Linked DNA regions of Kluyveromyces lactis. The protein of the gene in region 2 interacts with the protein of the main gene of each other region in a pairwise test. Links are inferred from orthologs where the notes say so. Each region holds a gene or a part of one and is shown on either strand. Other genes may lie near its edges. The genes, in order: PEA2, KLLA0_C17380g and KLLA0_A03905g.

The links.
Region 1: the proteins of KLLA0_C17380g (region 2) and PEA2 interact in a protein complementation assay, tested with the Saccharomyces cerevisiae proteins (3 studies listed by BioGRID, with this or other methods). The link is inferred for Kluyveromyces lactis from reciprocal best matches to the Saccharomyces cerevisiae genes SPA2 and PEA2.
Region 3: the proteins of KLLA0_C17380g (region 2) and KLLA0_A03905g interact in a protein complementation assay, tested with the Saccharomyces cerevisiae proteins (2 studies listed by BioGRID). The link is inferred for Kluyveromyces lactis from reciprocal best matches to the Saccharomyces cerevisiae genes SPA2 and MYO2.

Annotation. Positions count from the first base shown.
Region 1 is NC_006041.1:890,449-893,401, reverse strand, and holds PEA2 (Pea2p), read right to left. Parts: upstream 1,518-2,953; coding exon 501-1,517; downstream 1-500. Other genes in the region: SPT15 (TATA-binding protein), read left to right, coding at 1-131; phosphoprotein phosphatase PP4 catalytic subunit PPH3, read left to right, coding at 2,319-2,953. UniProt on the Saccharomyces cerevisiae protein: Localized to sites of polarized growth and is required for efficient mating and bipolar budding.
Region 2 is NC_006039.1:1,523,601-1,527,366, reverse strand, and holds the start of KLLA0_C17380g (uncharacterized protein), read right to left. Parts: upstream 2,652-3,766; coding exon 1-2,651. Other genes in the region: KLLA0_C17336g (MCT family MFS transporter), read right to left, coding at 3,444-3,766. UniProt on the Saccharomyces cerevisiae protein: Involved in pheromone-induced morphogenesis and efficient mating, perhaps as a cytoskeletal protein.
Region 3 is NC_006037.1:345,318-347,836, reverse strand, and holds the end of KLLA0_A03905g (myosin family protein), read left to right. Parts: coding exon 1-2,019; downstream 2,020-2,519. UniProt on the Saccharomyces cerevisiae protein: Myosin heavy chain that is required for the cell cycle-regulated transport of various organelles and proteins for their segregation.

The DNA.
Region 1 (2,953 bases), on a different chromosome or scaffold from region 2:
TGAAACCTAAGATTGTGTTACTAATTTTCGTTTCCGGCAAGATTGTCTTAACTGGTGCCAAACAAAGAGAAGAAATCTATCAAGCGTTTGAAGCTATCTACCCTGTGTTGAGTGAATTCAGGAAGCTATGATGTTTTATTGGATGGTACTATAAAAATTCATTTTTTTATTTTATTAAACAATGCACTAATTCGATTCTCGGAGGTTTTGTCTCGTCTTCTGCAAGAAAACCCTTTGTTCCTTCTATCTTTCCTTCCTTATTGTCTTTTCATATCCATTCTGCTATAATAGAAGTCTTTATTATTGGCACCTTACTCTATGTATCATATAGTTCATACACAAATTTAACGACTAATAGCCATCGGTAAATGGTTTCCAGCTTGAGTTTGAAATGGATGAGGAATTCTGTCTTAGATAATGTTACAAAGTTAATTACATTTCAACAATATATTGAAGTTTAATGCTAGTATTTTTGGATCGTTAAGGGCAACATAAAACGATTAGCGGTATCCTTTATTTTCCAACTTGTTCTCCAACTGTTGTCTCAACAGGCGTTCTTGTTCTAGTTCTTTTTCGTATCTTAACTGAGTATCAGCTAAGATTCGTTTAAATTCTTGCTTCATCATTGAGAAAGATTGATGGTTAGAAGCAGATGTTGAGGATTTGATGTCACTGGATTCGGAAATTGCTTGTGAGAAGGATCTATCGATATCCATTGGAATTGATTGCATCTGTGAAGTGACTTTCGATTTCTCCTCGCGCTCCTTCAACTTACTATGATAGTGTAAGAGCTCTTCAGAAAGCTCTTTGTTAGTCTTGTTCAGAGTTTCTATAGTCGCCTGGTATTCATCTCTATCATTTTCATATTTCGATTTCAAGAACTTGTATGCAAGTTGTAAATCCGTGATAGCCGTTTGTAGGTCCTGTTGTTTTGAGATATCGTTAAGTTCCAATTCTGAGGTAGAAAGGGGCGCGTGTTGCAAAGAACTGCTTGAATTCTGTGGGTATGCATCCAACAGGATGTCGATGTTTTTCTTACAAAATGAGATTGGATCATGTACACCCTCCTCGTTGGAAGAATTGTCTATTGATGCCAAATTGATACCTTTAGAAATGGAGCTAGAGATCAGGTAGGAGGTGATCTGTTCCACTTTCCCCTCATCCTCATCAGTGCTTTTATTGGCTAAAGATTTATCATTCTCTAGTACCAATTGGACTAATTCTTTCAACGTGTCAACGTCTACCGAGCCAAGCTTTTGTAAGAAAGTAGTTCCCTTAGTACTTAGAGAACCGTTAGCAGATTCATTAATCAAGTACAATGCAAATTCCAATTTCAATTGGGAATCCAAATCCATTGGAAGCTCATCCCACTCCGAATTTTGTCTATTGGATATCAGGGAATTCGTACTCGTAGTTTGCAAATATTCATTCAACTGTTCATTGGGGTACTTCCCATGCAATTTCTCTACAAAAGAGGTATTGTACTCGTACCATTGGTCCAGGTTATTACGAAGCATTCTATCAAGGGGCTAGCTGCGATCAGTATCTAGCTTGGTTTGGTAGCAACTTACATTTTAACATTCCGTTCATCTATCCAGACGCGTTGATTCCGATCAATGCCTTTCTCAATTACCACGCACGGGACATACATGCAGTTTCCGGGTAATACAAGCACATTATCAACCACGTGATATTTGACATCACCACGCACGAATACCGCCATTCCGATGTCTGGGTGTCATCTTCCGAAGGCTTACATAAGCACACCTCATTACCCGCATGTCACGTTAAATTATCGTTTTTGTGGCCGAAACACAAAAAAGGAAGCAAACTGATAAAAAGAAACGTGAAAAAAGAGTACAGGCAAAAAAAAAGAAACAATGGAAGGAGAAGAAGAAGAAGAAGCAAGATTCTGAACAATTCCCATATACAACACAGGCAAGCATTCCACACTACGCTATATACTGTAGACATACCGGAAAGCGCAGACCGACAAGTTGACTTTTCAGGCTAACCGAAAAATGTAATTGTTGTTACCTCTTTTGATACTTGATACTTTTATTTCTCTTGATACTTGCATTTTGTCTATCTCATCGAATTTTGGAAAATAAGAAAGTAAAGAAGCTTTTAAGCCTATATTGTTAATGATGACTATTCAGTTTACCTTTGTTAGATTAGTTTAAGGTAGGTTTTTGTTGGATTTGATCCAAACTCATCACTATAGAATAATATCGTCAGTTCTTGAACAGGGAATCACTTTTTTTTATCTTTTATACTTCCAGTTGGTTTTAACTTTAACGTCGTCTGAGCATCTGTCAATGATGAAACTCGATGAGATTATAGAGACTCTAAGGCAGGGGAAACATGTTGACGAGGATTCGATATACTCGCTGTGTGTCATGGCTCAAGAACTTCTTATGAATGAGTCTAACGTGACACATGTGGATACGCCAGTCACAATTTGTGGAGATATTCATGGCCAATTGCATGATTTGTTGACTCTCTTTGCTAAGAGTGGAGGCATTGAAAAGAATAGATACATCTTTTTGGGAGATTTCGTGGATAGAGGGTTCTATTCGTTAGAGAGTTTCCTTCTTTTGGTATGTTATAAATTAAGGTATCCAGATAGAATTGTGTTGATACGAGGAAATCATGAAACAAGACAGATTACGAAGGTTTATGGGTTTTACGACGAAGTGGTAAGGAAATATGGTAACAGTAACGTATGGAGATACTGTTGCGAAGTATTCGACTATTTGCCCTTGGGTGCCATTGTAAACAACAAGGTTTTCTGTGTTCATGGTGGATTATCGCCGGACGTTTTATCAATCAACGAAATACGAACCATCGATAGGAAAAAGGAGGTACCGCATGAAGGTGCTATGTGTGATTTATTGTGGTCGGATCCAGAGGATGTGGATACTTGGTCTCTTTCCCCGCGTGGTGCAGGTTT
Region 2 (3,766 bases):
GGAACGAGTTTTATATTCTTTTTGTTTACAGTTATCGAAGGTACAGATTCAGATTCAGATTTAGCATTTTCTTCAGATTCAAAATTGAATGACTTCTCATTTAAGTCGACATCCTCTGTTGAAACTTCAATAGGTTGTGGATGTACCACTGGCGAAAAAATTCCTTTCAAATTTTTTTCTTCGTTGGTTCCGTTTTCTTCTTGTAGATGCTTTTGCTTCATGGTTTGTCTTAACACTTCATATGTAGAATTCCCATCGTCCTCCTCCTCTACACTTTCGCTTTCAGTTTCTTCATCATTGCTGTTGTATATGTCAGAATTAATATTTTGCAATAGCTTTCCCTTTTCTGGAGATGATAACTCAAAAGGATTTGGGTCTTTAAAGTCAGAAGGAACAACTGCTGATGATTTTTTGGCAAGTGGCGAAGTAGGTAGAAGTGAATTGCTGGCTGAAGCAGACTTAATTGCATCAATGGTCTTCAATTCTCTGCGTTCGATTATAGGAGCATTGCTTTCCGATTTGGAATTGTTATCCAGAGGTAATTCTAACTGCAATATATTCTTGGATTTCTTTGATGCGTTATCTTTCTTCATACCCCCATTAAGCATTGCTGTAAATAAGCCAGTTCCAGAGGGCTTTCTAACTGAAACAGGCCTTGATGACGCGTCGTCGGTATTTTTTTTCTGGGTAATTTTCAAAGGTTTGACCGGAGACATTTCAACGCTATCAGCCCGAGAAGGAAGAAGTGATGGTTTGTCTAAAACACTTCCCTCGTGTAAACCTTTAGCAAAGTTATTCGAGGTTTGTCTATTTTGCATGGAGAGGCCAAGTGGACTATCCAGTTGATCACCAGATTTATTTGATGTGAATATTTCATCGTTATTGGATCCGCCATTTACCGTCTTAACCAAATCATAGATTGCAAATGAGATTTCTGAAACAGAATTTTCAAGAATAACTCTTGATAATGGAGTTTTATAGCTGCTGAAGTAACGCACAGATGTGATAGCATGTGATATTGTGTTCTCTAACACTAGTCTCATGGTCTTTGTATCTGGGGAGTGAACTAAAGTTAAAATTTTTGAACAATATTCTGAAATGGAAGCAATGTTCTCGAATAAAAACAAAACTGGAGGTTCAGGTGACACAATGAGGCTTAGTATTTGTGATAACTTGGAATCCAAGTCGTCGATGAGATTTGACGGTATTATACTAGTTTCAGGGAAAAGTTGCTTGTTTGAAATGGGGGCCATAGAAGAAGAGCTTGTTCTGACAGGTTTTTCAGCAAAAGCGTCTTCATACTTTGATTTCCAATAGGCAGCATCCTTCCCTGATTTACCGTCAATCGATTTAACTGGAGACTGTATATTTTTCAATTGCAGCTGAAGTTCTAGTTTTTCTTGTTTGAGTTCTTCGTTTTCTATTGACAGTTGATTTAGTTGAGTAGTCATTTCGGACATTCCCTTTTGGAAATTACTATCTAGAGCTTTAGTAGTACTTGATTGGTCGGCATTCTGTTTCAATTGCTGAACTTCTTCTGTTAATCGTTGATTATTGGTCTTCAATTCATCTAATTGATTCAAAAGTTCTGATTTTTCTCTCTCCAAAGTTGTAATGGTACTGTCCAACTTATTCCCTTCCAGAACTAATAGCTCTATATCACGATCTTTGTTACGTTCTACCGATTGAGACAAGGATCCCATTTTATTTTTATTACTGGTGAAAGGCGACAACCCAGCACTTGCAGCCATTGCTGTAGTGGCAGCAGTTTGAGCCAATGGAGTTCTAGCCTCACTGGATTGTGATAACGGTCTCTCTGAGAACGTGAAATGGTCATCTATGGAAATCGGACTTCTATTTCCCACAGGTGAGGAAGCTGTAGGTTGAGGTGGGCTTTGTGTTTCATCTGGAATAATGACCGGGGACTGATTTAGTGAAAACGCTCTATCTATCTTAATAACGTCATTGTCTTCACTAGCTAATTCCTTCTCATCAGCTTCTGGTTTGTGATCCTCTTCATCTGAACTCCAGTCGATTGATGCTGTCTTTGGAATGACTGTAGAAGTCTGCAAAGTTGCATTAAGTGCAGAATTCTCATCTTCTGGTAATTTTTCCACCGACGTATTATTTATACTGCTAGGTACAATTGGCGATGGCTTAGAATCAAGTACGTGTAATGCAGGAGAGGAGACCTCTGCCTTGTCATTCGAATTAAAATCTTCATCAGTATCAGCATTTGGGAATTCCTGATAATCTGCTTCTTCTGGTTCAGGTAACGTGTCAAACCCACGTCTTCTGATTTCGAAAAGAATATCATCGACCAAATCATTAAATCTCGCATTGGATAAGTTCGCCAATTTTTGTCTTGCCTGGTTCCTCTTTGCATGGAAACTTTCATTAGGAACTAAATAGTCATGTTGTGGCTGTGATTCATCAATTCGTCTTTGCAATTCGTCGCTGACGTCAGTACTCAACTCGAAAAACTGTGACGAAGAAAGTTTTAACAGCTTTGAACGTGCTTTCTGAGCACGCGATGTCATTGATCTATCATGGCTACCACCGGTAACCTCAAAGAATTGTTTTAAAGCAACATAATAATTATGGATCTGCACTTTTTGTGCATATTTCAGTTCCTTAGCACCCTCTTTCATTTGGAACGGTAAAATGAAAACAAATTATCAAACAATGGTCAATTAAGAACACGTATTAATGTCAATTGCAATTGTCACTGAGGACACTCGTTTCAAGTATAATGGTCAAAAAAGGGAAGTGAAATCGAAGAAACCAGTGTGTCTGTAAATAACTCAATTCGATACTTTCCCAAGTTTAAATAATTGACGGCCTTCTCCTTTTAAGACTTGTATCGTCTTTACCAAACCGCTACCGCTGATTCACAACAACTCGCACTTATTTCGTAATGATGAATACTTGATTCTATACAATTGACTTTCTTTCATGAAGAAGAGTTAATCCACTGTTTAATTCGAATTGAAACAAGATTCTAATTCCAATATTTCAATTTCCATACCTAAGAACTCATCGTTTTTTCAGCCAAAAGAAAAAAAGCGTTCTTACTACACCTCGTTCTTCGTGATAACGCGTAATTTTATTGAAAGTTTGGCGTTTTCTTTCACGTGATGAGAAGAAAAGAGAATCGATAAAAAAAATAAAAAAGAAATGCTGCTTCTGTGGATCGAACACAGGACCTTATGAACTTCAGTCATACGCTCTCCCAACTGAGCTAAAGCAGCGATTTCTGTTGGAAATACAACTCTTCGGATACCAATACCTTGGTGATTTGGGCAAAATGTATGCTAAGCATCGCACTTACGAAAGCATTGCAACAATGAGTGTGAGCAATTATAGTATAGCATTGAATTATACTAGAATATACATGCATATTATTAGGTTTTGTTTTAGTATATCTTTTTCTATTATATACATCAAACTTTTCTTGGTAGTCGTCCGATTGTCAGTAGACCTTTCAAGAGTTCCGGAATCGTGACGTGTAAATGCAATTCACCATCGTCGTGACCTGTCTTTGCAACCATGGCGAGCTTGTCACGAGCTATTAGATACCCACGAATCATCCATAGGAAAAATGCAGCTCCGAAATATCCCATACCGGAGAAAATGGCTGTATTCACGTATTGGTTGGCAACTGTTGGATCGTTACTACGTAGTCTTAGACCAATGATTGGGGAAACAATGGACATCATGCCGATACAAGGCCAGGTGAAAGAATAAATGGCTGGTAACTTGTTAA
Region 3 (2,519 bases), on a different chromosome or scaffold from region 2:
GGCGATGCCGCTGTTACGATTCAAAAGAGCGTAAGATCTTTCCAACCAAGAAAAAGTTTCCTACATGAGAAGAAGGGCACCGTGGTCATCCAATCTTTCATTAGAAAGCACTATGCTCAAAGAAAGTTAAAACAACTAAAATCGGAAGCCAAATCCGTTAATCACCTACAGGAAGTCAGTTATAAACTTGAAAACAAGGTCATTGAATTGACGGAATCTCTTGCTTCTAAGGTAAAGGAAAATAAGGAACTTGTTTCACGTTTGGAAAACTTGCAAAAATCTCTAAACGAATCTGAAAACATTAAAAGCTCTTTGGAGGAAGAAAAGGAAGGTCATACCAAGGCATTGGCCGACCAAAAGAGTATACACGAAGAAGAATACGGAAAGGTTAACGACCAATTGATTGCTGCAAAAGAAGAAATCATCTCTGCAAAGGCAGAAGTTGACGAACTTCTCAACAAGCAGAAGAACTTGAAAGATGAAATTGCATCCACTTTGGAAGAATTAACATCCGCGAGAGATGAGCTTCTAACATCTCAATCAGAAAACGCCGATCTAAAAAAAGAAGTTTTTTCTTTAAAGGAGGAAGTTGCACGTTTACAGTCCTCTATGCGCTCTGGTGTATATGTAGGAGGAGGCATCAACGCTACTCCGGTAAAAAACAGGCGCTTCTCGGCAAATAGTACTTTGAATGATGGCTCTTCTCCAAAACAATTGAATGTTGTTTCCATAAACAATAACTTCAATACTGAAGATGTTTCAGCGTTAATGTCTCAAATTAATGATGAGCTATACAAAATGTTCGAAGATTCGAGATCCCTCAATACTGAAATCATCGAGGGACTCTTGAAGGGTGGCAAAGTTCCTCCAACTGGTGTCTCTGTGAACTTGACAAGAAAAGAAGTTTTGTATCCATCAAGGGTTCTTATTATTATTCTAAGTGATATGTGGAGATTGGGTTTAACCTCGCAAAGTGAAACTTTCTTAGCTGAAGTTTTAGATGCCATACAAAAGATAATCTCTAATTTAAAGCCCGATGTTATGATTGAACATGGTGCTTTCTGGTATACTAACGTCAGAGAACTACATTCTTTTGTAGTATATGCATATGAGTCGATAACTACCGATGAAACGTACAATAGTGGCATGAATGAAGAAGAATACAATCGTTATGTCAACCTTGTTAAGGAACTAAAGGATGATTTCGAAGCTTTGAGCTTTAACGTCTACAATCTATGGATGAAGAAGCTACGTAAAAACCTTGAAAAAATTGCCGTTCCAGCAGTTGTTGTTTCACAGTCACTACCAGGGTTTGTTGTTCCTGAACCATCTCAGTTCCTCCAGAAATTCTTACAGAACAGCTCAACCTATAAAATGGATGATGTTTTAACATTTTTCAACAATATTTATTGGGCAATGAAGTCGTACGATATTGAAATGGAAGTCTTTGAAGACGTTATCACGAACCTATTAAAATTACTGGATGCTTTATGCTTTAATGATTTGATTCTAAGAAAGAATTTCTTATCGTGGAAACGTGGTTTGCAATTAAATTATAATGTCACAAGAATCGAAGAATGGTGTAAAAGCCACCACATTTCTGAAGTAAGTGTATGTCTTCAACATATTCTCCAAGCGGCAAAGTTACTACAGCTAAAAAAGCGTATTGTTGCCGATATTGATATCATCTGGGACATCTGTAACTGCCTAAAACCTATCCAATTGAAGCAGCTTATTACTCAATATTCTGTCGCAGACTATGAGGAGCCAATTGCTCCGGAAATCTTGCAATATGTGGCTGAGAAAGTGAAGAATGATACATCTAAAGCTGAAGTTGGGAACAATGATGTTTTCCTACCAGTTGATAATGGCCCATTCGAGGACCCATATCAAAAGGTTGAAGTAAGAGCTTTCGGTAAGATCGAAGCATACATTCCTGCATGGTTGAACCTCCCAATAACAAGAAGAATCGTCGAGTTGGTTACTCAATTTGTTGCTGTCCAAGAACAAGCAGAGTAAAGTCAGCTACCTTTTCAATTTCAATGATTCACATATAATATCCCCCGAGTATATAATACCCTTGTAATTTTTATGGATCCAAATAATGATAGTTGAATCACCAATCACCATTTACATATATTAATCAAGCTATACCGTCATAAAATTACCAGTAACGTCGATTATAATATTGTAAAAGCCTTTTCAAAGAATTATATATTTATATGTTTATACAAATTTGAGTATTAGGTACATTTTCTTTACCAGTATATAACCACATAGTGGTAGACGGGAATGAAATGCATTTCTATTCATGTCAGAAAAATGATGAAGCATGGCCAAATTAATGCTATAGTTCTGAGAAGAATAAGTTTATCTGCTAGATTTTTTAAGGTAAACATATATGATCAACAGAAATGCACATGCAAATGTCCCGGTCTAAATAGCATGTATCAAAAAGGAAAGAAAAAGCACAGAAGCTACTGTTAATGCCAGGCTTCCATGACTAATCCATATCGCAT